4 linked regions of the Lonchura striata genome follow. The protein of the gene in region 2 binds, or shares a complex with, the protein of the main gene of each other region. Links are inferred from orthologs where the notes say so. Each region holds a gene or a part of one and is shown on either strand. Other genes may lie near its edges.

Region 1 (6,883 bases), on a different chromosome or scaffold from region 2:
GATTGAATAGAGCCGGGGTTTGGTTCGGGCTTTATTCACACACACACACCCTCTCCTGCAGCAGTATCTGGTCAGATTTATAATTCATCTGCTGCCGCTTTGAGACAAGAAAAGAAAGAAAGAGGCAAAGTTGTACTTTGAGGGATGGCCGGACGGACAGACGGATGGACGGCGGCGCAAAGGCCGGTATCCACCGGGCAGCGTCCAGCGGGAACGGGCAGGGACCAGCCACAGCCTCCCGCGCACCACACCGACGGCAGAGCCATCGCATACTTCTACATTTATCATAGCTTTTTTTTTTTAAGGAAAGAAATCATTAAATAGCAACTTGGCTCTGCCTTGGCTGCTGGCAATTTCTCTTACGGCCCCAAGAAGTTGCTCTTAATTGTGAGACTCCGGGTCTCTGCAGAGGAACAGGAAGGAGAGAAACAAAAACCACACACACACACCAAAAATAATTAAAAAAATAATAATATTAATAATAATTTTTTTAAAAGACAAGGTTTAATTAGACGAAACCAACTTTGCTTGTGCCTCATCCAGGCTTTGGTCAGTGATGGTCATGATCTGATGGAGGATGTCGCCGATGTCCTGCTTCCTGCCGTCGCCGTCAGCCCCTTCGTGTCCGTGGGGAGGCGGCAGGGCCATGCCCCCCTGCACCGAGTGCCCGGCCAGGTTCACGCCGGCCAGAGTCTGCAGCATCCTGGACTGATCGTCCATGGCTCCGGGCCGGGCCGCGCTCCGGGCGGTCACGGCAGCGCCTGCCCCGCTCAGTCCCAGTGCCGCGCTCCTGACCGCGCTCTGCACACACACCACGAAAAAAGGGAAACAGGAAAAAAAAGCCAAACAAAACAGTAACAAAAAAAATGTAGTATTTGTGTTTTGACCGGATCTCAGCTGTTTATTCCACTCTCTTCTCCTTCCCAGGGCAGTAAATCACTCTCTTCTTTAGTTACAATCTTCTTTCATCATCATCATATTGGTGCCTCGGATAAATGAGCTGAGCAGATTTCTGTGAGATTTTCCTGGTACAATCTTCCTCCAAAGCTTTTTTTTTTCCTTTTTTATTTTTATTGTTGCTTTTTATGTCTTTCCCCACTTGTCCAAAAATCTTCTTTGCAAAAAGGCAAAATTAAAAAAAAAAAATTAAGTACAAAATCAAAAAAACTCGCTTTCAAATCCTTCAGAAGTTGGGAGGGTGCAAACAGCAAAAACCACAACAAACCAGCGAACACCCCCACCCCCAAATTGCAACATAAAAAAAGCCAAGAAAACACAATCACAGAGGGAAAAAAAAAAAATTAATCGCCCTCCCCCCCAAATAACAAACGATCCCAAGTCTGTGCACGGGGGTGAGACAGCAGCAATCAAAAGTTTGAACTTGTGCAAAGAAAAGAGCGGAAATAACGGGGAAAGAACTGTAAAAAAATTAATTACACACTCTCTGCAAAGCAATGTGCAAAAATATCGGCCCGCCGGAATTTATGAGCCCCGCGCCCGGTGCCCGCGCGTGTTTTATGTTGTTTGATGGCCGCTCCGGTGAGGGATTGACAGGCTGCCAACGCCACTCACTCACCGCAGACGTGTCACCCTGTGAAGGAGCCGAGCGGCGCGCGAGAGGGAGCGGAGCGCCGGCCCCGCCCCGCCCGCCGGCCCCGCCCCGCCGGCCCGCCCCGGCCCGCCCCGCCGGCCCGCCCGCCCCGCTCCGCGCGCGCGGCCCTCCCGCCGGGCCCGGCGGCGCCCGCGCTCCGGGGCGGGCGGGAGGGGCCGGCCGAGCGCCAGAGCGACGGGCACGGCGGCCAATCGCCGCGCGAGGCCGCGGGGGCTGGCTGCGGCCTTGGCCAATCAGCGCCCGCACGGTGGTGCCGCGCCCGCCCGCCCCAGCTCGGGCCCCGCCCCGGGATGAGGAACTTGTGATTGGGCCGTTCGAACGGCGGCGTGGGCGGGGCGAGCGGCCCGGGCCCCGCCCCCGTTGCCGTGGTGACGGCGGGCCGGTCCCGCCGGGCCGGGCCCGGGGCCTCCCGAGCGCCCGGGCCCGGCCGGGCCTGCCCGACGGAGCCCCGGGGCCTCCCGAGCGCCCGGGCCCGGCCGGGCCTGCCCGGCACCGGCAGCGGCGGCCGTGCGATGGAGCCCTGCGCAGGATGAAGGGTCCCGGGCCGGTCTGTCGCGGCCCGTGCCCTGAGCGTGTCCCCGCGGAGAGCTGCGGGACAGGACAGGAGCCCTCGGCACAGCCCTCGGCTCAGGGCCTGCGTTACCGCGTGCAATTGCAAATTATCTTTTTGTAAATGTGCACAGAACCGCGGAAGCGGGAGGAGGAAAAGGCACAGGCAGCAAGGGTAATTACGACTTCATTCCCTTAGGATGTTACATGTAGATCGTTGCCACCTCCTCAGACTGTCCTCACGTGGGACACTGCCCCGTTCGCTCCTGCTTCCCTCAGGTTGGGCCATTTTGTCACACTTCGGGTAGAGCCACGGTTAAAACCATCCTTAGTTTGCTTTTTGTGCTCTGTCTGTGGCAGACAGTCTCAGTGGAGCCATGCCCGCACCCAGCCCTCATCCCCTGACCTTCCTGGTGGTCTGGCTGATGCCTCAGGCTGGCATCAGAGCAGAGCTGCCAGCTCGCCCCAGTCCCAGCTGGCAGCGCCATCCCTCACCTTCACTTGGGCCTGGATGTCACCGGAGCCCTTTACCTGGCTGGGGCCTCGGATGGCTGGTGCAGATGGAGGTGGCTCCTGGTCAACAAATCTGTGCGCTCACCGTCCCCCCATACAATTAGTAAATTCATTCACATTTCAATTACTTTACATCTTAACTACTCCATCATTGTCTGTCTTGAGCCAACGAGTTTTCAGGGTCATCCAATTTTACTAAGAACACTACCCCAAAGGCATTTTAAATCGGTATTTTTGTGAATATTTCACAGATGCACTTGCCCCCTGAGGGTGAAGTGCCACGGATGGAATGGGCAGATCCCCTAGCCCCTGACCCTGCCAAACGGGACAGGGCTCCCTGGCCCCTGCAGGGACCTGCTCAGTCTCACTGCATCAGCGGAAAGCTGCTCTTCTGGGTGATTTTGGTACTGTTTCAGGAGGCTGAGTCCAGTCACCCCAGAGCTCTGGGCTCTGCCAGCTGCAGCCAGGCACTCCTGTGACATGCCCTGTGCTGGGGCAGCTCCAGCTCCTGCCCTTACTGTGCTGTTGCCAGTCACTGGTACCTGCTCCTCCCGGGCCTTGGTGGCACTTGTGCCATGCTGTGCACTGTCCCTCTCAAAGGCAGCTGGTTTGCGTTTGTGCAGCTGCTGAGGCTGCCACGTTAGGCTTTCCTCAGGGATGAACAAGTCTCCTTGCTTGCACAGGAAACTGCGGAGGCTGCACCAGCAGGTCTGGAGAGGTGACAGGGACACAGAGCCAGCAGGCCAGGAACAGGCTCCCTGGGAACAGCTGGGAGCACCGGCAGCTCGGCTGTGCGCCCTGCTCAGCCCCGGAGCAGCGGGTAACCGGGGACACTGCTGACGGCCCGGGCGGCGCTCGGTGCCGGTCCGGGCACACTGACCCGTGTGGGGTTCATCCCCTTCGTGTCTGTACTTGCGTGCTTGGCCTCAAATCACCAAATAAACACAAACGTCACCGTGCTTTTAGCAACACACTGGCAATAAAGCCAGTGCGACCCCCGTGAGAAAAGCGTCCTGTGTGCTGCCGTGCGGCACCGGGGAGCGCCGCTCGGCCGCGGTGTCCCGGTACCGGCGCGGGGCATCCCGGGCAGGGCGGCTGCGCCCGCCGAGCCCGCGGCCCGCTGCCGTGCCCGCGTGCGGCCCGCGCCGCCGGTACCGCCGGTGCCACCGCCCCGCCCGTTCCGCGCCGTCATTTCCGCGGCCGCGGCGCTTCCGGGTCCCGCGGGCGCCCGTTCCGCCGGACCCGGACCCGGAAGCGGCTGCGCGGCCCCGCGGCGGCGGCGCCGGTAAGTGCGGGGCGGGGGCGGTGGTGCCGCGGCTGCCCGCGCTGCCAGTCCCTCGCCGGGCCCCGCGGGATGCCGTGACCGGCGGCAGCGGCTGCCAGCCCGCCCGGGACGCGGCTCGGGCACCGGGGCTCCCGGGGCGCGCGGGCGGGGCCGCTCCCGCGGCTCTCCCGGCGGCGGGGCAGACGGAGCGGGTCCGGCCGCGATGGGCGGCGGGGCACAGGTGAGTGCGGCGGGAGCGGCGGGCACCGGCACGGTCCGGCGGGCCCCCCGGGATGCCCTGGGCGTGCCCGCACTCCGCGGCAGCGGGAGGCACCCGGCTGCCCTGGGGACTCCGGCCGGTACCGTCTCTCCATCCCAGTCCCGTGCCCTGGGGGCTCCGGCCGGTACCGTCGCTCCATCCCAGTCCCGTGTCCCGGCTGCTCCTGCCGGCCGCGGCGAGGGCTCTGCCTGCCCAGTGCTCCAGGTGCGCTCTGAGCAGCATCGCACCCGAGTGCCGTTCCGCACCGGGCTCCCGGTGCTGCTCCCGCTTGCCGGTGCCATGGGAACTGTGAACACCACACGGGAGCGGGAAGGTGTCCGGGGGATGCAGCAACGAGTCCGTTTCTGTGCTAGTGGAAGTCTGGTAATTGACTAACCAGAGATGCCAGAGCCAAGCTTGGATATCCTGTGTGTGTTTAGCCGATTTTAGGTGTCAGGGAATTATCAGGTACATGCAAGACTGGGAATTAGACTCTCTCAGTTACTTTTCCAAATTCAGAACAGCTCCATTCACGGACACTTTTTTGGGTTAGATTAAAAATAAATTGGGATCAGCATGTACGTACATATAGACTTGTACAGAAATAACTGAAGCAGGGAGAACCAGTTTAGCCAATTTCTGTATCAGTAATGTTTCACATCTTTGTTGTAACACCCTTTCCTCATCTGTTGGTTACATTTTCACCCATTGCAACATGTAACAAATTTAGAATAACAAATAACAGATGTTAAAATAACAAGTAACAGCTACATTCTTGTTGTGCGTTTCCTTTGGATCGGAGAAGGCCTCTGCAGGTGGAGCAGCCTGGCACAGGGATCTGTGTTATGCGTTCTGTAGCACGAAATTTTCCCGGCCATTCGAAGTTGTGAGCGTGAAAAGCACACACCTGTATGGAAAGGTCAGTTATGGCAACCAATGGCACAGCACATGGGCAGCGTGCTGGCCACATCCCCAGGTAGGAGCAGCCCATCTCCCACGTGGTCAGTCTTTTTGGAGATCACACAGTCACTGAGGCTGGAAGAAACCTGTGAGATCATCGAGCCCAGCCTCTGACTCACACCCCTTGTCAGCCAGGCCGGAGCACTGACACGTCCAGTCTCTCCTTGAACTGCTCAGGGCTGCTGATTCCACCACGTCCCAGGGAGCCCCTTCCAACCCTGACAGCCCGTGGGGTGAAGAAATTCCTTCTGATGTCCAAGGGCAAATGGCACTGGCTGAGAAGTGGGGGTGGAGCTCAGGTGTCCACATTTGCTCCCATTCAGGTGCTGGAAGGGGCAGTCTGGAGCTGAGGAGCAGAGCCCGGGGCTGTCAGTGCTGGTCCCACTGCTGGGACTCCCCGCAGGGAGGGGCTGCCTCAGGGGTGGCAGCAGCTCTCCAGGGCGTTTGTTAGTGCCTCTGACACGAACTCCAAGTTGTGTTTAATATTAACTCTGTGTGTGTGTGAGCTGAGGAGCTCCATCAGACTGTGATGCCTTGTTGTTCACTGTCTGTCAGCTCAGTTTTATATCCCAGACTGCAAAAGGGCAATCCCTACCTTGTTTGCTTATTGCCTGAGAAGTGTTGTATCTAAATCCATTATCCTGAGAGCAAAACAAAGCTCCTTGAATATGTTTTGTGTGCTCTTGAAAGAGACAGACCCAAATTTAAAAGCCAGAGAAACGGGGGATTCATCTTTTGCTGAAGAAATGTGAATCTATTCAGTTTCATTTGACATAAAGTCCCAAAGGGACTGAAGGTCTCAGGCATTTTTAAGGAGGTCTGATCATGAGTATTTCTTAAGTCAGAAGCAGCTTGCATGCTGCTATATTTAAAAAATAAGATATGATCATGTTTTTAATGCAATAAAAATATTTATGTACACTCAAAAGTAGAATGGCAACAACCTAAAGAAACTGTCTGACAGAGACCCAAGTGTTTGTTTTGACAGGTGCTGCTGTTTAAGGCACAGCCCCCTGCCTGGCAGTGTCAGAGCAGCCTCCCTGGTGCTGCTGCAGAGCAGTGCAGTGGCTGTGCTGCGAGCCCCTGGGCTGGCTGGGCCTGCCTCGTGTCCCCAGGCTCTGTCCTGGCTCCAGACAAGGCAGATTCTATGAGCCTGGGGGCCTTTTGGGTGTAAAACCCAAAGAGAGTAGCATCTCTCTCAATAGCAAACAGGCAAAAAGGTAAAATGGTGAAGCTTTCTGGTTCGGCATTTTTTATTTTTTTAAGATTGAAGCTTGTATTGATGTTTATGAAATTTATTAAGTTTTTTAGGTCCCTGAATATCACACTGAGAATTGTGAAAATAGAAGCTCTAGTCTGATATTCAAGCACTCCTAGCCTGTGCTTTCATTCTCCACTCTACAACAAGATATTTTGTTTATCACAGAACCCAAGAGTGGTTTGAGTTGGAAGTGAGTTCAAAGCCCACCCAGTGCCACCCTGCCCTGGCAGGGACACCTTCCACTGTCCCAGGTGCTCCCAGCCCCAATGTCCAGCCTGTCCTTGGGCACTGCCAGGGATCCAGGGGCAGCCCCAGCTGCTCTGGGCACCCTGTGCCAGGGCTGCCCACCATCCCAGGGAACAATTCCCAGTTCCCAATATCCCATCCAGCCCTGCCCTCTGGCAGTGGGAGCCATTCCCTGGGTCCTGTCCCTCCATCCCTTGTACACAGTGTGTCTCCATCTTT
Region 2 (7,127 bases):
GACAGCAGAAAATCCCTGGATGACAGCTAGTATTCCCTACACATTCCTTAAAGATTCCTATTAAGTCCCTCTAAACTAAAAATCCACAGGGTGAAAAAAAAAAAAAATCAAGCACAGGAAAAGGCCACCATTCTTTTGAGCCTGAAGTTTTCAAGTGAGTGGAAAAATGCATCTGGTAGCCTCATAGATTTTCCCCATTTTTAGTTTTAGAAGAGAAAAAAAAGTAATTCACCCTGTGATCATAGACCTGTTCCTAATAGAAAGACATACATCTGCATGCAACTACTATAGCTAGTCCACCTCACAAGAGAGGTCAAAGACTGAAGAGACCAAGGAAATGCTCTCCTCCTCAGCCCTAGAGACAGTCTCTCCTGGTCAGGGTGGAGGCAATTCCTCAGACACCAGCATGGCAGAAGCTTTTGTTGCCAGTGCCTGGGTTGCACTTGTTTTATAGATAAAGAGGCTATCAGGGTTGTCAAGCTGGCAGCTTTCAACATCATTAAATTCACAAAGCAATTTGAATGTGATACTGTAAGCTTAAGACCTGATGTTATCAATAAAGATTTCTCTAAGGGATTTACACTGCCTTCAAACACATTGGGATTGGATGATTATGTCTGTGAGCCTAAACCATAAACATCTCTTTGGCTATTTAAGGAGTAACAGCTACAATACAGGCTCTTTGCCTGGAAGGCAAAGTATTTATGCAAGCTGACTTCCCATAGAGTGGGGATTCAGGCAGCTCTGCAATCTCACAGAGAGCACACAGCCAGAGCCACTAATGGAGAGGCTGATCACAATCACAGCAGAAGCTATGTGAGCCCCTCTTGGGGATGCAAGTTACTGTTATAGAGCCAGGTAAATTTAAATAACAAGAATCAATCTTTCCAGATGGAAGAGAGTTGAGAAAGTCAGCCTAGCCTGAAACATATAAAGGGGCAGTACAAAGTGTTCTCAGCTGAGCTCCAGAACAGAATTTTCATGAGCTCAGCATTCACATTTGATGCTCAACTCCCAGAAGAGCTGAGAGTCCATTAAGTACCAGGTTTTCAGCCACTCTCAGTAGCTCCCATGCTGACACTTCAGGCAGATTTTCAGAGCCAGCAACTAGAACACATCCAGTATCTTGAGCTGTCAGACATCAGACCCCGACCATAAAAGCTCATTCCTTTTGAAATGTGTCCCTAAAGATAGTTGCATGAAAAGAAAACTCAGCAGAGGCATTATGCACTTTCACTTACCTATAGCCAGAATGCCACCCTTCCTTTCATTTGCATCAGAGCTAGAGACCAGCTCAAATATGTGATGGTTCAGCTGATCGTAAAACCTGGTAGATTCTTCCTGACTCATCTGTAAAAGCAAAAAGTTCAAATCAGCTTTCAGCATTCTCTTCGTCCCTCCTGCTCCAAAACCTCCAAAAAGACAGTGCTTCATATGCCACTTAAACAGAAAGACATTAAATCAACCATACATTACAAGCTCAAAAAAAGTTTCTCTTATTTGTGACCTATATGCAGCAAATTTATTTATTCTGGTATTTGACTACCCGTTTGTGTCACCAACTTGCTCACCTCTCCTACATGCCAGGGAGCAAAGACAAGCTCTCCACTGTGCCCCATTTCTTCCCTGAGACCAGCTTCCATATTCCAAAAACCTCCATTCCCAAGGCACCCAGCCCAATAATCTACACTCAGATGATGCACAAAGATAAATAATCCCATTTGTAGCACTCACCTCACGCAGCTCCATGGTGACATAATGCTGCAGGTCCTTGGCAGCTTTCGCCCTCGTCTCCTCGCTGCGACTCTTCAAGCCATTGGCAAATTGCTGGAGAATGGACACAGTGCCCGACATGGTGGTAGTGTGCTGGGGCTCAGGGGCATCAAGTCCTGTAAATTCTTCAGAGAGACACATTTTTTACTGCTTGAATTGAAATCTCCAAGCTTCTCTCGTAAGGCCTTCCCTCCTGACTGTTCCCAAAATACCCATAAAGATGCTGTGTAGACCATAAAATTACAAGTAATGACTATATTCCTTAGGCATTACACTCCATGATAAAACTGTATCACCACGTATCATGACACCCAGCCTATTTGCTCTCTAGTTCCTCAAATACCAAAATACATTACAGTAGGCCAGGTCCTCTAGGGTGATCTAATCTTAAATCAAGAGTAATGCAACAGTTGAAAAACAGCAGGGTAAAACCAGGGTTTGCAATTACCAATAATAAGTAAGCACAACCATTCCAAGGATTATATCACGATCATATCTGACTCCTCCCTGAACACTTTCATCCAAGTTTCTTCACAGAAATCTCAGTGTTACACCAACACAAGGAAGACTCAGCACTGGCAAGTGTTACATTCTCCAACAGATATTTAGAGATGGGAGGTCCAGTTATAGCAACACCAATCATTGCAACAGGGGGTTTCCTAGCATGACACATAAACAAACTTTCTCGGGAGCCTTTCTTTATGTCAAAAACATTTCAGACGCTTGACGCCCCCCCATATTCAGATTACATAAAACCAAGCCAAGCACTAACACCAGAACTCCCCAAATATTCCACACGCGCTCGCAGACATCCAGCGGGACCACAGGTGAGGCGGCTGCTGGCAGGAGCCCAGGAGAGGCTCCGCATCAAAGAGCAGCGCGGGGGGTGGATACTGACATCAACCCAGCCCGGAGCCGGTGCCTGGCACTCCCTCAGGGCCACAGAACGCGGCGGGCCCGAGCCGGGGCTGGGGGAGCGCCGCAGGCCGAGCGTGAGGGAGGGTGAGGCGGGGCGAGGCGAGCACGGCCGGCGGGGCCGCAGGGCGGCAGCGCCGCGCGGCCGGGGGCTCGGGCAGGTCGGGGCGGGCGGGAAGCGGGAGCTGAGGGGAAGGGGAGCCGATGATGATGACAGGCACCGCCGCTCTCACTCACTCACCCGCCGCCGCCTCCCCTACTCCGGGCCCCAGGCCCGTGCCTGCCCCGCCGCCGCGCCCGCAGCGCCGGCGAGCCGCCGCTGGCCAATAGGCGCCCAGGAATGCCTTGATCGGCATCTCGTCTGACCAATAGGAAAAGAGAAACGGGGAAAACGCGCTCAAATCTCCGCCCCTGACCCAAAGAACCGCAAGGACAGCCGCCTTTCGACCAATCATCAAGGCAGTAGAGACTGAGTGGCAGTAAAGCTGACCAATAGAATGGCTGGGTTTACCCAGTAGGCCCGCCTTCCCGACGCCGGCTTCCGCCCTTCCGTGAGGTGCCGGCTATGGCCGGGCTGCAGCATGGGTAGGTAACTATCATCGCCTGCTCGAGCTTGTGTGAAGCCTTTGGCACCGTTCCGCATGACATCCCGGTCTCTGAACTGGAGAGACGTGGATTTGATGGATAGACCACTCGTTGGATAAAGAACTAGCTGGATAGACGCTCGTAAAGAGTTGCGGTCAGCGGTTCATTGTCCACATCGAGACCAGGGACGAGTGGCGTCCCTCAGGGGTGGTGCTGGGGCTGATAGTATTCACCAACTTTGTCGGCGACATGGACAATGGGATTGAGGCACCCTCAGCAAGTGACACCGAGCTGTGCGGTGCTCTTGTGGAAGAAGAGAAGGCTGTGTGCAGATCTCGGAGCAGCCTTTCAGTACCAGGAGGGGCATACAAGGAGGGACTCTTAACCAGGAACAAGGGCGAACAGGTTCAGACTAAAAGAGAGGAAATTCAGTTTAGATGTTAGGAAAATGTTTGGGGAGGTCGTGGCACAGAGAAGCTGTGGCTGCCCCATCCATGGAAGTGTTGGATGGGGCCTGGGCCAGTGGAAGGTGTCCTGCCCGTGGCGGGATGAAACCAGAGGAGCTTTAAGCTCCATCCCGGCGCAAGCTGAGCCCCGAGTGCGCTTTGCGCATGCGTGACGGGAGCGGGGAGGGCACTGCCGCGCCGTGCTCCGCCGAAATGTGTCCGGCTGCCCGTGACAGCGCAAGGGCGGCTGTGTCCGCGCCAGGCTTCGTGTCGTGGCGGCTATGACACGAATCGTAGTGCCGGCGCGTGCTGCGGGGTGACCCCCTCGCTGCCTCGCGTGACACCGCGGGCCGCTAAATTTTCGTTTTAATTTGACAGCGGGAGGTGCCGGCAGGTGCGGAACTCTTGGCGCGGGGCCGCGGGGGTGGCGAGGCCGCGCAGGCCGGCGGCCACGTAATGGCGGCGCCCGCGCATCTCCCGCCGGCCGTGACGGCGGCGGCGCCCCTCGCTCCGCCCGGGCCCCGCTAACGAGCGGCCCTTCCCCCTCTAGGTGCTGCCGCTGCGAGGCGGCGGGGCGAGCATGGGACCGGCGGAGCTGGTGCAGAAGATCAGTATCAGCGCCGAGAGCCCCCGCGGCAGCGGCAGCGAGAGCGGCGGTGCGGCGTTGGCGGGCGTTGAGGGAGCCGCCCCCGGCAGCTGGAGGCACAAGTGTGCGGCCTACGTGCTGGCGCTCCGGCCCTGGAGCTTCAGCGCCTCGCTGACCCCCGTGGCGCTGGGCAGCGCGCTGGCCTACCGCGCCGAGGGAGCGCTGGACCCGGGGCTGCTGCTAGGGAGCGCCGTGACCGTCCTGGCTGTGCACGGGGCCGGCAACTTGGTGAACACCTATTATGACTTTTCCAAAGGCATCGATCATAAGAAGAGTGATGACAGGACGTTGGTGGACCAGATTTTGGAGCCGCAGGATGTGGTGCGGTTTGGAGTTTTTCTCTACACCGTGGGCTGTATCTGCGCTGCTGGTCTCTACGCTGTCTCGACGCTCAAGCTGGAGCACCTGGCCCTGATTTACTTTGGAGGACTTTCCAGCTCCTTCCTTTATACCGGAGGTAAGTGCTGCATCCCGTTAGTTGTGAATCTGCTTGTAGAAGTGATAGAATCAGCGGAATTGTCAAGAGGCTTCTAGAAGACACAGTGCACTGCAATAAAATATTTGTGGTGTTTCCTGAAGTACTGGTACATAAAGTTATATTCTTTGCAATTGAATATTGTGGGAAGAGTCATACTAACATCTTCACTTAGATAGTGGTGTTGAGGCATTACTGTTTACAAATATGGCTTTAGATGCTTCCCAGAACTGTTGCTGAATCTTTTTGTGAAGTTTATCTCATATCCTTTAGCAGTGTTGCTAATGGCATATTTTCTTTGCTGGGAATGTTACTTTGTTTTGGAATGTTTCGTTGTTATTCTTTAGATGGAGCTTCACTATGAATGCTGTACAGTGTGTGATTCTCCTTAATAAGACAAGGATATTTTAGTGTCTTCCTGTATTGGATAGACAGATACAAACATCATTAGTAGGGGAAGAAAAAACAGCTGAGTTTCTAACTGTCAGAATTTCAGTTATGCGGGTTTCCCTGAAACTGTCTTGTCATTTTTTGCATTTTGTTCTGAGCATTTTCTATATTTCTTTAGGATCAGGTTTTCGTATACATGATCACACTGAAAAAAAAATACCTTATTTCTGTAGGTTTCTGAAAAGACAGGTCTTTCTAGATGGGCATTAAAACCTGGCCCTTACATTTTTTGTCTGGAGAAATTCTTACCTTAAAAAAGAAGGAGATAATGTGTTTCTTGTCCATAGCTGCATGTGCTTTGGTTGTTTTGTAATGTTCCTATGAGAAAGGCTGTGTGGGTATTCTCAGAGAGAAATGGAAAGTTTCTAACCAGACAGAAGCCTGAGAAACTGTTGAGAAGAATGTAAATAAGGTTCTTTATCTTCTTGTTGTTCACATTGTTTATAGTTAGGTTTTGGTACTGCATGTCTTTCACTGCACATCAATAGGTGAGATGTTTTTACTTCAGGACCAATATAAAGAGTGATAAATAAATCAGAGTTATACTCGCAGCCTTCTGAACAAAGTCTATTCATTCCTATCCTGCCTCAACAGCATCAAGGCTGGATATATAGAAATATGGGAATGATTTATTTAAAAATATGGATATTGATCTAGTACCAATATCCAACTGTGATGGACAAAAACTCTCTAACAGTTTAAAGTTGAAAAATGTGTGTTTATTGTGTGTAGGATCACTCCCAAATCCACACCGCAGCTTCCAGGTGATTACAGAGTCTTTTTATCCATACAAATATTGAATATCCAAAATACAAATCCATATTCATCATTTTGGTACATCCCATTCCCTGCTTTGTATGCTAATCACTTCAAAAGCCATTCAGCATGCATGGTTTGTTCCTTGAAATGGGTCGGTGTCCCTTTCATGGGGAGGGGTCCCAAAATGAGGAAGTAAATGAAGTCTTCCTCGTTCTGACCTTTCTACCTTTTCAATGCCAATATCACAAATGAACTCTTGGTAGAACTCCCATTCCTTGTCTTCAATTGGTTTCAGAACAGAGGAGGCCACAATTGTCTTATGTTCCTAAAAGCTATTTGTCAGTTTGTGTATTCTTCATTATAAACCCAGATAACTAAACATTGTGCTGACAAGCAATCAATTATTAGTTAACTCCTAACTCTTAACTTCATCACGGCCTACTCATTTATTTTAATTAATTCTAGTAAGGCTTATCTCTAACTAAAATCTTAGCTCCTTTAAAATCCCTAAATTCCTTAAAATTTACGTTTCAGGAATAGGAATATTCCTATGGGAACTGTTATGTCATCCATGCTCTTCTGTCATTTGAATTATTTAATGATGCTTGACTTTATCCTTGTGTCTTGCCACAGGAATTGGATTTAAATACGTTGCGCTTGGCGACGTGGTGATCCTGATCACCTTTGGGCCCCTGGCTGTGATGTTTGCCCACGCAGTGCAGGTTGGTTACCTGTCTCTGTCACCCCTGCTCTACGCTGTCCCTCTGGCCCTCAGCACTGAGGCCATCCTGCACAGCAACAACACACGGGACATGGAGTCGGACCGGCAGGCGGGCATTGTCACCTTGGCCATCCTCATTGGCCCCACCTTCTCCTATATCCTCTACACTGTGCTGCTCTTCTTGCCCTACCTGATTTTCTGTGTGCTGGCCACACGTTATACCATCAGCATGGCACTGCCACTGCTCACCATCCCCATGGCATTTTCGCTGGAAAGACAATTCCGGAGTCAGAACTTCTGCAAAATTCCTCAGCGGACAGCCAAACTCAACCTACTGCTGGGCCTTTTCTATGTCTT
Region 3 (7,177 bases), on a different chromosome or scaffold from region 2:
CAAAATAGAATCACTGTGGAAAGGCAGGAGGGAGCAGAAACAAGTGCAAGGCTGAAGTGAATGTACTTTGTAACCTCTGCAGGCAGCAAGGGCTGTGCTGTGCCTGTGGAAGCATGCCCAGGGCAAACACTGGACACACTTCAAACCACTCCTTGGGAAGGTCCTGCTTTGCTGAAGGACAGAGCAGGTAATTGTGCTGATAATTGCTGCTGCAGGAATTGAAGGTACAAGTCAGAGCTGTTCTGCACTTGGGAGCTGAGTAGCTGGATGGCTGTGGGTTTGCATGTACTGGGTTAGTGTAAAAATACTTGGCTGTTGAGTTACCTTTACTACATTAAATCTATTGTGGTTCTTTCTCCATCAGAAAAAGTAGATACAGGCAACAAAAGAAAGCCATGAACTGTCCAGCCTCAGCATCCTCATCTCCCCACTGACACTCACTCCAGCCCTTTTTGCTGTTTCCCCCCTTGGTATCTTGTCTTTCAGAACCACATCTGATGTGTTTCTTTCTTTGAGTAAACAGTTTATAGTAACATTAATGTCATTTATCATCTGACCTGATCCCAAGGCTGTGTTTGATGAGGGAGTACCTGGCAGAGGGAGACAGGGAGAAGGGCTGGAGCACGGCCAGTGCAGAGGCACACAGGGTATGTCACTTGTCCCACAGTTCTCTGAACTGCTTTGGAGCTCAATTTGCAAACACTGCAGACATGAGGAGGCTGCAGCAGGAGCAGGGAATGTACAGGCACAACCCTAATTCCTAATGCAGCCAATGCTATGGAATGCTGCCCTGGGAAAACACAACCTGAGCATCACACCTGGATTGCTACAGGGGGAGAGGATTTCAGCAAAGGGGTACTTGGTGTGTGAGCCTGTTCAGCCCTAAATGTATCAACAATAAGAGTTCAGATAATGCACAATGCCTGGATTAGACATTCAGAGCCAAAGGTGTGCTGTCCCTCTGCTCAAAGCACTCCAGAAGTGTTTAGACTTCACCTGGGCAGGAGAAATGTAGTAACAGCCTTACCACAGTCCAGATCCTCTCACCTCTGCTTAAGCTGGTGCCTCTTGAGTAGCAATGTCCCAGAGTGCTGCCAAAGGCCATCAGCAGTGTCACCCAGCCCTACAGCATGGAAAAACAACCAACTCCCCTGAAAGCTCTGTATTTCCCTGTATTCCCAGCGTCCCAGCCAAGACAAAATGAAGCACTTACATGATCCTGCTGGAGGAAGGATTATTAGCCAATTCCCTCCAAAGGAACAGTGGAAGAAAAGGCAGTTAAAGATTTTTCTTCAAAATAAACCCATGCCCAGAATGGATGAGTTCTGTGTTGCTGCTGACAAGCATCCTAAGGTGAGACAACTCAATTGCAATTTAAGGCAATAAAGCCAATAAAGGGGGAGGAACAGAAACCCTGCATTAGTGAACTACCCTAAACAAGCACAGAATGAGCCAGGGGCAAGTTAACAGAAACCAGACAAATAAATAGACACAGCTTCAAAAGGAGAGTGGGATAAGAAAAAGAGAGTTAGGGAAAAGACCTAATCAAAGAAAGAGGAAGGAACAAAAACAGAAACTCCCACAAATGAAAAAAAATGCTGATTCTCACCACTCTGACCATGTGGAGGGGTATGGGTATATGTCCTGAAAATACAAGTTAGGTTTCACCAGAGTAAAAATCCAAGTGCCAAAATATGACAGGCAAGTAATAAGAACTGTAAGGAGATGGAAATTGAAAGCATAACTACCACAAATGTCAGCTGTTTTTCCAAATCCATGTATGGCACTGGAAGGTAATTCTTATCTCAGTCCTCTCAGTCTTCTGGCTCAGTAAAAAGTCCAAATTCTGGACCGTGGCATGGTTCCAGAGGGAGTGAATGTAAAGATGATGGCACAGCTCCAAGGGTTGGTCCTGCAGGATCATGGCTACTGCAGTCCTCATGTGCATCAAACAATTGTGTCTGTTACAAGACACGAGACACGAGACAAAAGAATCTGGTGCTGTACATCGGGGAGGGCTGTCCCTCTGCACCTCCTGGGGAGCTTTGAACAGGATCCCTGTTCACAAATGCTGGATTTCCACAGGCTGCTGCCTTTTTGCAGGCTCCCTATATCCCACCAATCCCAATATGGGATGATGCTTGAGGGCTGTGATGAGGTGGGAATCTGCTGTAGTGAGTGGAAAAGACAAGGCTGGTCACAGGGAATGAGCATGCAGCGTTGTATCACCACAGCCATCACTGAGAAAGTACAAACCCCCTGTATTTCCTCATGAAATAACTATCCTTCCATCATGTACCTATTCACTGGAAGCTGTTATTCCTGCTGTTTAACAGGTCACCAGCACTTGTCCTGTAAAACCCCATAATCCAGAAGACAAGGGGTATAATTAGACTATCCCAAAAAATGCAGGTATCTCCTGAAAGACTGTCTGCTCCTCCAGAAGCGAATCACTTTTGTGTACAAATGGCTTTCTTTTGCTTTAGTTCCCTGCCCTCTCATCAGCTTAGATGAGTACGTGGGAGTGGATGGGTGAGATCAGGGAGAAGCCAATCCATGTCCCTTAACATCATCCAGCTGCTAGTTTGGCTTGTTGTACTCTGGCATAATTGCATGTTAGGTATCAATGTTTCCCAAAAAGATAAGATGCACATTAAAATAAGTAATTCTAACTAACATTCATTTTTCAAGAAAATGTGTAAAGGGTTTGTATTAACCCAAAGTGTTCCAAATGAGTAGTAGAGGGGAGAAATATGACTTTCCTGTCTTAGTGTCTTTTCTCCCTTAAATTCTGCATCCATCAAGTGTTGCAGTCTCCACTAGTACGTGCAGCCCTCTTTTCACAGCGGAAAACTCCCCACCGCTTGGATCCCACAGTTAGCCATTCCCAAGCTCCCAAACGCCGCCTTCCCTTCCATGCAATTCCCAACACTTTATCCGCGCTGGGACCCGACGTTTCTCCATAAATCATCTGAAGAGGCACCGAGATAAATTCAAACAAATTTAAACAAGCCCGGCCGAGCGGCCCTTCCCGGCACGGGATCCTGGAGCTGCGGGGACACGGGAGGGGCAGCGCCAGATCCCACGGCCAGATCCCACTGCCCAGGGAGCAGCCCCTGGGATGGGGAGAGGAACGGGGATGGGGAAGGAGACGGGGACTGGGATGGGGAGAGGAACGGGGAGAGAAACGGGGATGGGGAAGGAGACGGGGACTGGGATGGGGAGAGGAACGGGGATGGCCACGGGGATGGGGAAGGAGACGGGGACTGGGATGGGGAGAGGAACGGGGAGAGAAACGGGGATGGGGAAGGAGACGGGGACTGGGATGGGATTGGGCAGGGGCGGGGGACGGGACTGGGATGGTGATAGGGACGGGAATAGGGACTAGGACAGTGATAGGAACAGGGATGGGGATAGGAACAGGGATGTGCACGGGGATAAGGACCGAGATGGGGATGAGGAAGGGGACAGGGATGGAGGCAGGGACGGGATTGGGCCAGGGACGGGACTAAGACGGGGATAGGGATAGGGACCAGGACAGGGATAAGGGAAGGGGACGGGGACAGGGATGGGTGACGGAGATCGGGGACGGGACAGGGACGGGGATACGGACAAGAACAGGGATAAAGGACGGGGACAGGGAGCGGGATGACCAAGGTGACGGAGCTCGGGGACGGGACAGGGATGGGGATAGGGACCGGGACAGGGATGGGATGAACTAGGTGATGGAGATCGGGGGCGGGACAGGGACGGGGACAGGGATACGGGACAGGGAGGGCGATGACGCGGCTGAGGGGGCTCGCGGCCGGGGCCGGGCGGCGCGCGCGGGACGCACCAACCGCCGCACGCTGCGCGCGCACGCGCGCGGGGCCCCGGCGCGCGCCTCTCCGCCCCCACCCCCGCCGTCCCCGCTCGCCCTTGCCCGCCCGGCCCCGCCCCCTCCCCTTCGAACGCGGCCGTTGCCGCTCCCCGGCCAATCCCCGCCCGCCGCCGCCGCCGCCCCGGCCAATCGGCGGGCGGCACGGCGGGGGTGACGCAGGGAGTTTTTTCCCGTGACGCGCAGGTGCGTACGCGGGGCCGGCGCGCGGCGGCGGCGGTCACGTGGTGCGGCCCCGCCGCTGCCAGCGCCGCGCGTCCCGAGCGCGCTCCGGCCGCCGCCGCTCCCCCCGCGCCCCCCGCATGTCGCTGGCGCCGCGCCCCGCGCCCCCACAGCCGCCCGCCGCCGCCCTCCGCCGCAGCCGCCGCCCTTGATGTGGTTCGGGGCCGGGCGGGGGAGAAGATGCCGCCGTCCAAGTCCCGCAAGATCGCGATCCTGGGCTACCGGAGCGTGGGTGAGCGCGGCGCGGGTTTCGCGGCGGGGGTGCGGGCGAGTGCCGCCGCGTCGCCCTCCCCGGCGGCGGCGGCGGCGGCGGCGGCAGGTGCAGCGGAGGCAGCGGCGCTTCCCGCCGCCCCGAGCGCGCAGCCGCGGCCCGAGGGAGGGAGCGAGGGAGGCCCCGCCATGGCGGCGCCGCAGAGCTGCGGGCCCGCGGCCGCCGTGCCCTTAATAGGAAGTTTCGCCCCCCGCACTGCCCGAGCGCAGCCCGGCGAAGCGGGATCGGGCGAGCTGCGGAGAAGGCTCCTTCCCCGCCCGCCCGGCGCTCCGTACGGAGCGAGCCCGGAGAAGGGCAGCGGAGCTGGGGAAGGGGCTGGAGCGCGTGTCCGGTGAGGAGCAGCCCGGAGGAAAGGAGGCTCAGAGAGGCCTCGTCGCTCTCCACAAGTCCCTGACAGGAGGGTGCAGCCAGGTGCGAGTGGGCTCTGCTCCACGGCAGCCAGCGATAGGACGTGAGGACACGGTCTTCAGCTGTGCCGGGGGAGCTTTGGGTTGGACACCAGGGAGAATCGATTCTCAGAAAGTGATCGGACACTGGAATGGGCAGCCCAGGGAGGTGGTGGAGCCACCGTCCCTGGAGCTGTTTAAGCAGACTGGACATGGCACTCAGTGCCGTGGTTGACACGGTGATGTTGGGTCTCGGAGCACTTTCCGAGCCTCGGTGGTTCTGTGCTTTAGAAGCAATTTGAAGTGCTGGGGAGGCCAGGCGGGTCCGTTGCCCGTTCTGCCCCGGGGAGGTGTCGGTGCGGCAGCGCAGCCGCTGTTCCGAGGGGCCGCCGCGCCTCCGGCTGTCCCCAGCACGGCGCTGCTGGGACAATCCAGCTCGGGCTCATCCGCTGGGACGAGCTTCCTGGAAGCGTCCAGCACGAGTCTGCAGCAGCTGATAGAGGGTTTTGTTCATAGCAAACGGTGTGATCCTGCATTCGCTGTCTTTGATGGAGAACGGTTTCAGATGTTTCAGCTTTCGGGTTCTTGAAGCGGGAGGGAAACAAGCTGTAGTACAGCCGGTGCTAATCGATCAAACTTAAAAGCATAGATCAATGTGGAAGATAATGTGTGGTTGGAGGGGAAAAGGAAGATGTTACAGAGAGATACTACTCTGATATAGATGAGGTTTTTGCACTGAAAGCTATATCAGTAATTTGTCTTACATGGCACACAGCATAAAGAACCCTTTAAAAAAGCTTTTTTTAATATAAAAATAGGCCTAAATAAGGAGAGCTTTTTCTTGCATTTTGTGCATAGCTGCAGCCAGGTTGGTGTTAAAGGGATTGATGAATTTGTCCAGTCCATAAACAGAACAGTGAGTAGTAGATTGATCAGTTTGCATAGTCCGTATGACATCACTTGTTGCAGTGTGTTCATTGTCTTGTGTGTTATGTTTTCCTTCTTTGAGCACTGGTGGGAGCAAAGCAATGGGCAGTGTAAGTGGGAAGGGGGAATGCTTGAAATTCTGTCCTTTGGAAGTCTGTGGTGGGGACTGGCTGTACTGTTGAGCTTTGGTCCTTCATCTGTTGATGCTGACAAGCAGCAGTCAGGAAATCAGATATTAGTAGAGTGTAGGACCAGCTGAGGAGAAACAGAGAAGTAGTATAATGTTAGTTTGGTTGGTGATGTGAGCAGTAGTACTCGTGGAAAGGATGACCAAAATGTTACCTAACTGATAAGACCTACTGCTGAACTTCTTTAACTAAATTTTCTGGGACTAGTGTGGAATTGGGCTTGATAGGACAAGAGCAATTTTATTAGGAGAACTACAGGTTGTAGGAACATAGAGTTAAGAGTAAGTGAAAAATCTGGTTTACTGGAATTTTCCTTTCATTGTCATTAAATTTCTCAGCTAATACTTAGGTAGAAGTTCAAGCAGTAGAAATGGGCCTTTGGGGTCCTACTTCCATCTTGTAAAGCTGTTAGAAAAGCAGGAAGGTTAACCTGTAAGATATAAACTGTCCTCTGCTTCCCCAAATATCCTCCTAAAGTGTAGTAGGATGGGGACTGAGACTTCAGGGAAACTTGTCATTAAGTCTTGCTTTGTATTATGATGATGAGGATATCACTTGAACCCTGGGTAAGAAAGGATATTATCTCATTTTAGGACAAGTATTTGGGTGGTAGAAAAGGAAGTACGTTTCTTTTGGAGGAAATGCTGCATTGTATAGAGGTAATGCTCATTAAAGTGGGGAAAAAAATCCAGAATCTGAAGGATTGGAAGGAAATGCTTTCTACATTTCCTTTTGTAATTAGAGAACGACATTGTTTTGCTATTAACATTAATCTTGACCCTGGAATTACGGAGGTTAACTTTGGTGAGTTGTAAAATGTTTATATTTTCATAGGTTGACCCTAAATGCTTAGGTGACCTGCTCTGGGAAGTTGGATGCTCCTGTTGTAACTACAGGGTTTGGGATGAAGGTGTCATAAAATGAGGAGCTCTTTTTCCCATGTCTCTCTGTTAGGTGCTGAAATAACCAGGTTTTGATGATATATGTCAAGCAGTGAGCTTTTCCCTACAGCTGTTGATTAAACAATGCCGTGGGTCTCTCTGGTTACAAGTGTGTGCAGTGAAGGGTGGGCACACCCTCCCTGGGGATTTGTGAAACAGGGTCTGAGAATTGTACTGGATTCGTGCTAAGGCCTTGTTTATTTTACTTACTTTAAATTTTAATCTTATCCCAGTGTTGTTGTCAGGTAAACTAGATGTTGGGAGTGGTATTCTGGTATAATGGTGCTCAGAATAGAAAATTCAGGAGTCTTCTTGTTTGAATACACTCCCTCTATCTTTCAACACCACCATCGAGCCTTTCATAT
Region 4 (7,402 bases), on a different chromosome or scaffold from region 2:
CACCTTTGAGCACCTCTTCGTTCAGAGACAGGCTGGGGTGTTTAATGAACAGGCATGGCCCAGCCCGGGCTGGGAGGAGTTCGTTTTTCAGACTGAAGGCACTGCAAGGTTTCCACACTCAGCTCACAGCCAGAGGCACATCCCCTCCAGCCCTCAGGGAACCTCCTGCAGCAGCAGCAGCAGCCCAGAGAGAACAGCACACCTCGGGTCCATCAGCCCTGGCTTGTGGGAAAGGGAGCCAAGAGACAACAGGAGCTGCAGAGAATTGGGGATGGGGACAGAGGCTCCCCCTGGGCCTGCAGGGAAGGAAGGGGCTGAGCTGGAGGGGCAGAGGGACACCAGGGGCTGTGGGCACTGACAGAGCTGCAGCAGCACCCTGGAGACAGAGCTGGAAAGCAAGGAAAGAGGAAGAGAAGAAACTTCCTGAAGACAGCTGAAACTAGAAGTAATTAATTTATGGTGCCAGAGAACAAAACAAAGCAGTTCAGGAACAAAAAGGGGGAAAATCAACAACCCATCAGTTTTCACCCTGATAGCACAGGCTGCCCTCACACCACCACTGCCTCACAGGAAAACCCCACAAACACCAAGCTCCTGGGGTTTTCTCCAGGTGCTCCATTCCCTGGACAAACCTGTCACACCCAGCTGGACCATGGGAAAACAGCAGCATGAGTGAGCTGCCCTCCCTCCACCTTCTGATCATGGACACGAGGTCAAACCAGATTAGATTTTATGAACTATTTTGCAGGATTAGCCAAACTCAAGCTCACTGGGTGGAAATATTTACCGGACATCACCCCTGCAGCAATCCAAGCCCCATCCCCTTCCCTCCCCAGCTGAGGTTCTGTGGTTGTTACCTCTCATTAAGCACTGGGGAGACAGCTAGTGATAGCTGAAAAGGGGAATAAAACACAAGACATGACAAACAGCTGCTGAGATTTAAAAGTAATGAGGTTGAGCATTCTCAAATCAGCTGCTCTTCCTCTCTCAGGTGTCTTTACATGCTTTTGGTATCTTCCTATGTACCTGCTCTTCAACAAAAACGTAATTATACACAACAGCAAGTTTGTCCAAAGGATCCCTGATCCAACTGCCCAGATACAAACGACACCCGAGCCACACCACTGGCCCTGGTGTGAAGTCATTTGGCTCCAGCTGACAGCAAAAATAGGACTAAACTGAAAAGTCGAGCTTTGCTTCTATTTTCTTCTTTCACAAGAGTCAGATTCAGCATCTTGCAGAGTGACCCAGGGCCCAGCCCCACCGAGCAGCAGCAGCAACAACCACGACGTTTCTGGCACGGAAAGTCCCACAGGAGGGAAATGCAGCTCCATGGACTCGGGCAGCAGGAGCTGGGTTGGGATTGCCACTGATGGTGGCAAGCACATGAAACATTTCACAGCAGCCAAAGAGAACCCCTGAGCACCCCCTGAACTTGTGCTGCTGCTGCTGCTGCTGCACAACCTATGATCAGCACAACCAGGGCAAAGTCATTCCTGAATTAGAAAGAGGCAACTCTGCAGATCAGGGATGAAGGAACAGGAAACATCTCAGGAAGGCAGAGGCACCTAAAATAGACCAGCAAGCTCATCACACCTCCACAGTCTACTGGAGAAAGTCTCCTGTGTGCCAGAACGCTTTGGAGCACAGCACCCAACGTGGTGCCTTGTGCTGCCTTGTGCTGCCTTTAAATCACACCCAAAGTGCTCAGTTCAACCCAGCAATGAGCTGCCAAGTCCCACCTGCAGTCCACGGTTCAGAACTTCTGAGAAATGCAACCACCACTCTGGGAACACTGAGACTCAGGGATAGCCTGGGCAAAGAGCTCACAGCCTGCAGTTTCAGTAAGTTATTCCATCCTGTTACAAGAGGATCATAAACGTACTGGAAAACTGGTCACCAGAAAAACCCATAAATACCTAGAAACACAAAGTTATGGGTTTGAGAGCTGGGAAAGCCAGCAAGGCTCCAAGAACAGAATGAGGGCAGATGATGGTCCAGGACATTTCTTAGGTGCTTTGTTTGCTCTTTACTGAGACATCCCACAGAGGCAGCAGAGGATCCCAGACTCCCAGCTGGGACGTGTCTCTGTCACTCCCAGTGCTCTCAGGAACACACAACATGTCCCCAGACACCCCAGGAGCTCCTGCTGTAACACAGCCAGAGTTCTGTCTGAAAACTGTGTCCTGCCTCCAAAATCCCACAAGCTGTTTGTGCACAGGACACCCTCACTGGACACTGCACACAGCACCCTGCTGGCACAGCAAACCCACCCAGCTCCTGTGCAGCTGCAATTCCTGCACCTGCTGCTCCTCCTGACCTCGGGTGCTTCACTGCCTTGCCCAGAACACACCAAGCTGCATTTAAAGCGCCAAAGTGGTGGAGCTGCTCCAAATGCCCAGGGCTGTAAACATCACAGCAGTGCCTCTGGGCCAGCTGCAGGTTTGCTGCCCCAGTCCCGCAGCACTGGGACACAAACTGTGGCATCCACAGGCAGCGTTTCACCTGACAACAGCTCAGCCCCCTCTGAGCTCCGACTCCTTTTCCACATGTCCCCCGACTGCTCCTGCTCCAAACCCCACGGTGCCCTGGAGCATTACCCGGTCCTTCATCCTCCAGCTCTGAGCCAAAGACTTGGAGCCTTCGATCTTCTCGCAGTGCCTTTTCTTCATAAAGGCCAGGGGCAAGTTCCAGTCCGTCAGGTCGGACTCATCCTCCTCCCCGAGCCCCAGGAGAGGCGACTGCAGCATCTCAGACTCCATGGGCGGGGAGGCGCCGGGCAGCACGTGGGCAGCGATGTCCAGCCCGGCACCCAGCGGGGCCGGGGGTCCCTCCGGCCGGAGGGGGAGGCCGGGGCAAGGGCAGCGGGGGCAGCGCTCCCCGGTGCGCGGGTACGGACGGACCAGGGGCACGCAGCGCCTTCACCTGGCGCAGGCAGCGGCCCCGGCCGGGCTCGGGGGCGCGGCCCGGGGAGCACCGAGGGACCGGCGGGGACCGGGCCCGGGGCCTCCCTCGCACCTCTACCCCCGCGGGCCCCGCGCTCCCTGCGGCGGGCACCGCGCCCGGCCCATCGCGGCTCCCTCGCACACCGTCGGGCCGAGGGCGGCTCGGCGAGCTGCGCTGCGGGGGCGGGCGGCGGCGGACGGGACGCGCGTCCCGGGGCGCCGGCGAGCGCGGCTGGGCTCAGCACCGCGGCACGGGGGCGGCCATCTTGGCCGGCCCACAATGCCCCGCGGTACGGGCCGCCGCGCGGGACACGCCGCGCCGCCGCGGGGACGGCCGTTGCCACGGGGACGGCGCGGCCGGCGCGGGAATCCCGGGATCCCAAACCCCGAGGCTGGAAAAGCTCTCCCGGCCCATGGAGTCCCAGCTGTGCCCCGTGCCCACCTTGTCCCCAGCCCGGAGCGCTGGGTGCCACATGCAGGGATGCCCTGGACGCCTGCAGGGATGGGCGCTCCAAACCGCCCTGGGCAGCCCCTGCCGAGGCCTGAGCGCCCTCTCCATCGCTCCTGGTGTCCCTGTGTGGCACTGCTGTCCCTGTTCTCCCCGAGGAGACTCAGCTCAAACCCAGCTGAAAACCAATCCCCGATGCCGAGCTGCTGGCTGGGAGCAGTGCCGGCCTCACCCTGGCGTGTCCTGGTGCTCCAACACAGCCAGGCACAGGTGCCAGCGCAGCCATGCCTGATCTTGGGCTTCACTTCGCTTTGTTCTGTGTGCTCGTTTACTCTGGGGCAAAAGAGCAGGAGAGTGCTGAAACCGGGCACAGCCCCCTGCAGATGTGTCTGGTGCATGGTCACTGCACACACCAGGAAAGGCAGGTGAAGCATTTCAGGCATAGATCCTCCTTGCCATTCAGCTGAAGGTTAATGGATAGCAAATATTGCTGCTAAGGAAGTTCCTCAGTGTTTGCTCCTGGTGGTAGTCGAGCCCTGCCACATTCACATTTGTAATACTCAAATGTGTAAACATTATTTCAAAGTAGAAATTAAAGAATATACGTGTGTAATTTGATTTACAGAACCATTAATTTTCATATACTTTCAGTGTGTTTACACTCATGGAATATTTCCAATGCAATGACCTTTCTTTACAAGAGATTGGGAGATTGGCAAATGATGTTTCTTGGGGTGGCCAACTTCTGCTTTTTCTCCTTCCCTTTCCTGAGGAGCTGATTCATTGCCTCATGGTGCTTTGTGCTGATGGCTGATGATAGCTGCATGATTGTTATCAGAACGAACTGCCTGGCTGCAGAAAATGCTTATGGCCTCGTTTCTGCTAGCCTTTAATGAATTCCTCAACAGCAGCCACACAAAACCAGAGAATTGCAGAATTCTGGCACGCTTTGGGTGGGACGGCAGCTTAAAGATCTTTATTTCCAACCTGCTGCTGTTGCACTACAACACAAAATAACTCACACATGCACGCTAAGATCAAAAGAGCAAAAGAAAGCAAGTTTGATTTCTGACCTCGCAATATACAGAATTCCAAAAGTGACAGTGGATTTGAGGAAGAAATTGCCACCTCTCCAACCACACTGGTCAAACCAAGTCCATCAACTCTCTCCTCCCACAAAAAAGAATTCAAAACAATCATTATTTACATGAAAAATGTGTGAGAAACTCCAGTAGAAATATATAAACATCAGAAGGCATAGAAAACTTTTAAAAGAACTTTAAAACCTTCAAAAGAACAGGGTGACATGCTGCCATGGAGGGCTCAGAGAAACAACCCCAACAGCGCACCTGAAGGAATCCCAGTCCCTGGGGCTGCACAGATGGATCCCCCTAATCCCTCTGGGCAGCGAGGGCCCGGCCTGGCTGAGCGTGCCGCAGAAATCCCCGCCGAGGGCACAGCTGGCAGCGGGCACAGCTGGCAGCGGGCACAGCTGGCAGAGCCGCGTGCCCCATGCCCTTCCCTCGGGCTGCCCGTCCCCTCTGGGCTGCCTGGGACACTGCCCTGCTTCTCTGGGGTGAGCTGGGCTCTGCTGGCCGGGCTCCAGGGCACGGGGATGGGCACGGGGACAGCAATGGGGACGGAGGGCTCAGCGGTGCTGCCTTGGCTGTGGGCTGGGAGCCACCAGCCTGGCTGCTGGGCACGCACAGCGCTCCCACGGGATCTCAGCTTGGCCTCTCCACTGCACGGCTCCCACTGCGGGTTCCACCCTCTCCTGTTCACTCCCGGCACTGCTGGCCAGCCTTCCCTGCTGCCAAAGCTCCGTGCCAGGGCAGAGGTGGTGCCAGTGCTGCCCTCAGGAGCGCCCTTTCCATGCACAAGCAAGCCTTCAGCCCCAGGTTCTGGACAGAATAACAGATTAAATTACCCCCTTGCTCCCAGGGAATCCGAGGAGTGGAAGTATCATGTCAGGTAAGGCACCGTGAGTGATGCCCTTAAACCCAAAATGCAGGATTATCTTCCAGAGACACATTTGGACACATTCTCCCACCTGTCACTCTTTTTAATGAAAAATCCTCCTATCTCAGGCTCTGTCGATGTCCTTTGTTTTGCCTTATTCAGCCATCTAATTCTAATTCCACTTTTGGGCAGGAAGAAATACAGATATGGAAAGAAGAATGTTGCTCATAAATATCATGAGAGATCTTATATTTTGATTCCATTACTCAAACCCACAGGTCACCAAGTGAGTCAGTTGGATGCAAAGCTCTGTTCTCAATGCCCACAGGCCAGCAGGCCACCTTCCCTGAGGCTCTAAGCGCAGGTGTTGGAGTGCAGGTGGCCACGTTCCTTCCCCAGGGCAACCCCTCAGCCCAGCACTGCCTGTTTGGGGCATTTAGGGGCAAACAAACGAGGTTCGTTTTAACATTTCAGTCGGGGCAGCTTTACAGCCTAAAGACAGTAGGTAAAATATTTATCGGGAAGAATATCTATTTTTAAGCAAGCCGGGTTTCAGCGGTGTTATTTATGCATGCGCGGCACACAGATTTCCTTCCCTGCTTCCCAGCAGATGTGAGTCGGGGCTGGGAGCCCGGGGAGGCAGGTGAGAAGGGGGCGGGCGGGCTCTGGGCCAAAGCCGATACGCATCAAAACATGATTCACACACTGACTCCCGGCTCGGGAAGCCTCCCGGTGACCTCCCCGGCCAGACCGAGCAGCCGCGGCCGCTCCCGGCGCTGCCCCCTCGCTGCAGGCGAGCAATCCTCACACAGGCACCGGTGCTCCCCAGAACCCCGAATCCCTTGCCGGGGGGGTCTGGTGCTGTGTCTCCTCCCCGCAGCTGCTCCTGCAGCAGCTCCTGCTGCAGCTCCGCCTTTCCGAGCACAGGCACCGGGGCAGGGATGGAAAGCTGAGGCTTTCCCTGCCCAGACAGGAACCACAGAATCTTCTGGGTTGGAAAAGTCCTCAGAGACGATCAAGCCCAACCACTGGCCATGTCCCCAGGTGCCACATCTGCAAGGCCTTTAAATCCCCCCAGGGATGGAGACTCCGCCACTGCCCTGGGCAGCTGTGCCAGGGCTGGACAATCCTTTTGGAGCAAGAAATTTTCCCCAATATCCAACCTGAAGCTCTCCTGGGACAGCCTGAAGCTATTTCCTGTCCTGTTGTTCCCTGGGAGCAGAGCCTGAACCCCCCCAGCTGCCCCCTCCTGCCAGGGAGTTTTAGAGAGTGAGGAGGTGCCCCCTGAGCCTCTTCCCACACCCGTTGTTCTGCAGTGCCCCAGCCCCCGATGTGAAGGGATGTGCTCTTCTGAGCACAGTCAAACTGCCTCAAAAATATGGGAGACATAAAAAGGGTGTAAAGTGGCATCTCAGTCAGCAGCACCCGTTGGGAATATGCAGGGATTCATGTTCTCGTCTCACGCTGAAAAGGCCAGAATAAATACTAGGTCAAAAATCTCTCCTTGCTCTTTTAATGGAAGAAACACTTTGGCATCAGGGGAAATTTTTCACCAAGGAAGAAAAGAGAGGGAAAAAGGAAAGGTGATGCAGATTTTGGAAGCAGAAGATTTATCTGAGAGTTTTATCTGTTGGCTTTGCCTCCCCTGAGCTATAAAAGGGCGAGTTTCCGGATGAATCAGAGGCTGTAGAGTTTCGTTAATGAGTGCATTTGACATCCTCGGATTCCAGGTAGTACACAAGTTGGAAGTCATTTAGACCGTGAAGCAGCCGCCGCGTTTGACCCCAAAGGCGACTTCAGTTCACGGCAAATGTAAAGATTTCTGTGTTCCCGGCGGCGCAGGGGAGACTCAAGCGACCCCTGCGCACACTGACAACAATCGGCTGCTTAATGGAGCTGTTTTTCTCATAAAGCCTGAGCGAGGCTGCACTCGATAGTCGGGGATGCGATAGATCGGAGGGCTTGGAGGAGCTGTTAATAGAGTTCTCCAGCCCCGGCATCCATCTCCGAGCCGCTCATCCGTTATCATTATCTCCCTCTGTCTCCTCCA

The links.
Region 1: MTOR (region 2) and MAPKAP1 share a complex: the UniProt entries of both Homo sapiens proteins name them as parts of the mechanistic target of rapamycin complex. The link is inferred for Lonchura striata from reciprocal best matches to the Homo sapiens genes MTOR and MAPKAP1.
Region 3: the proteins of MTOR (region 2) and RHEB are in contact, whole or in part, in a cryo-EM structure (PDB 6BCU), measured with the Homo sapiens proteins. The link is inferred for Lonchura striata from reciprocal best matches to the Homo sapiens genes MTOR and RHEB. Residues at the interface, in NP_001373429.1 of Homo sapiens: Arg62, His69, Glu73, Ala101, Thr102, Ile104, Gly105, Arg106, Asn109, Tyr110, Arg112, Asn113, Phe140, Glu143, Tyr144, Phe147, Glu154, Arg160, Thr969, Gln973, Phe977, Lys980, Glu1010, Phe1011, Gln1014, Met1018, Ser1050, Thr1051, Asn1264, Lys1293; in NP_005605.1 of Homo sapiens: Lys5, Ser6, Arg7, Lys8, Arg15, Pro37, Ile39, Glu40, Thr42, Gln57, Ala62, Asp65, Tyr67, Ile69, Gln72, Thr73, Ser75, Ile76, Asp77, Asn79, Asp105, Met106, Val107, Gly108, Lys109, Val110, Ile112.
Region 4: the proteins of MTOR (region 2) and RPTOR are in contact, whole or in part, in a cryo-EM structure (PDB 6BCU), measured with the Homo sapiens proteins. The link is inferred for Lonchura striata from reciprocal best matches to the Homo sapiens genes MTOR and RPTOR. Residues at the interface, in NP_001373429.1 of Homo sapiens: His597, Thr600, Pro632, Val644, Ser645, Gln646, Thr647, Ala648, Val649, Ala653, His686, Ala688, Gln689, Glu691, Met721, Asn722, Pro723, Ala724, Phe725, Met727, Pro728, Phe729, Arg731, Lys732, Leu734, Ile735, Leu738, Thr739, His743, Tyr771; in NP_065812.1 of Homo sapiens: Phe278, Lys282, Cys283, Ser285, Leu286, Pro288, Gln380, Ala381, Asp383, Leu384, Asp387, Glu411, Gln412, Thr414, Ala415, Val418, Trp419, Thr421, Met422, Arg427, Asn428, Glu431, Gln432, Lys973, Ile974, Asp979, Leu980, Glu981, Ser982, Lys986.

Annotation. Positions count from the first base shown.
Region 1 is NC_134624.1:10,804,453-10,811,335, reverse strand, and holds the start of MAPKAP1 (target of rapamycin complex 2 subunit MAPKAP1), read left to right. Parts: upstream 1-3,877; 5' UTR 3,878-3,959; intron 3,960-4,114; exon of another isoform or gene 4,115-4,179; intron 4,180-6,883. UniProt on the Homo sapiens protein: Component of the mechanistic target of rapamycin complex 2 (mTORC2), which transduces signals from growth factors to pathways involved in proliferation, cytoskeletal organization, lipogenesis and anabolic output.
Region 2 is NC_134626.1:5,764,697-5,771,823, reverse strand, and holds the start of MTOR (serine/threonine-protein kinase mTOR), read right to left. Parts: upstream 3,014-7,127; 5' UTR 2,930-3,013; intron 1,899-2,929; 5' UTR 1,855-1,898; coding exon 1,735-1,854; intron 1,351-1,734; coding exon 1,242-1,350; intron 1-1,241. Other genes in the region: UBIAD1 (ubiA prenyltransferase domain-containing protein 1), read left to right, coding at 4,300-4,822, 6,683-7,127. UniProt on the Homo sapiens protein: Serine/threonine protein kinase which is a central regulator of cellular metabolism, growth and survival in response to hormones, growth factors, nutrients, energy and stress signals.
Region 3 is NC_134603.1:150,905,958-150,913,134, forward strand, and holds the start of RHEB (GTP-binding protein Rheb), read left to right. Parts: upstream 1-4,174; 5' UTR 4,175-4,279; coding exon 4,280-4,331; intron 4,332-7,177. UniProt on the Homo sapiens protein: Small GTPase that acts as an allosteric activator of the canonical mTORC1 complex, an evolutionarily conserved central nutrient sensor that stimulates anabolic reactions and macromolecule biosynthesis to promote cellular biomass generation and growth.
Region 4 is NC_134621.1:11,400,813-11,408,214, forward strand, and holds the start of RPTOR (regulatory-associated protein of mTOR), read right to left. Parts: upstream 3,012-7,402; 5' UTR 2,763-3,011; coding exon 2,601-2,762; intron 1-2,600. UniProt on the Homo sapiens protein: Component of the mechanistic target of rapamycin complex 1 (mTORC1), an evolutionarily conserved central nutrient sensor that stimulates anabolic reactions and macromolecule biosynthesis to promote cellular biomass generation and growth.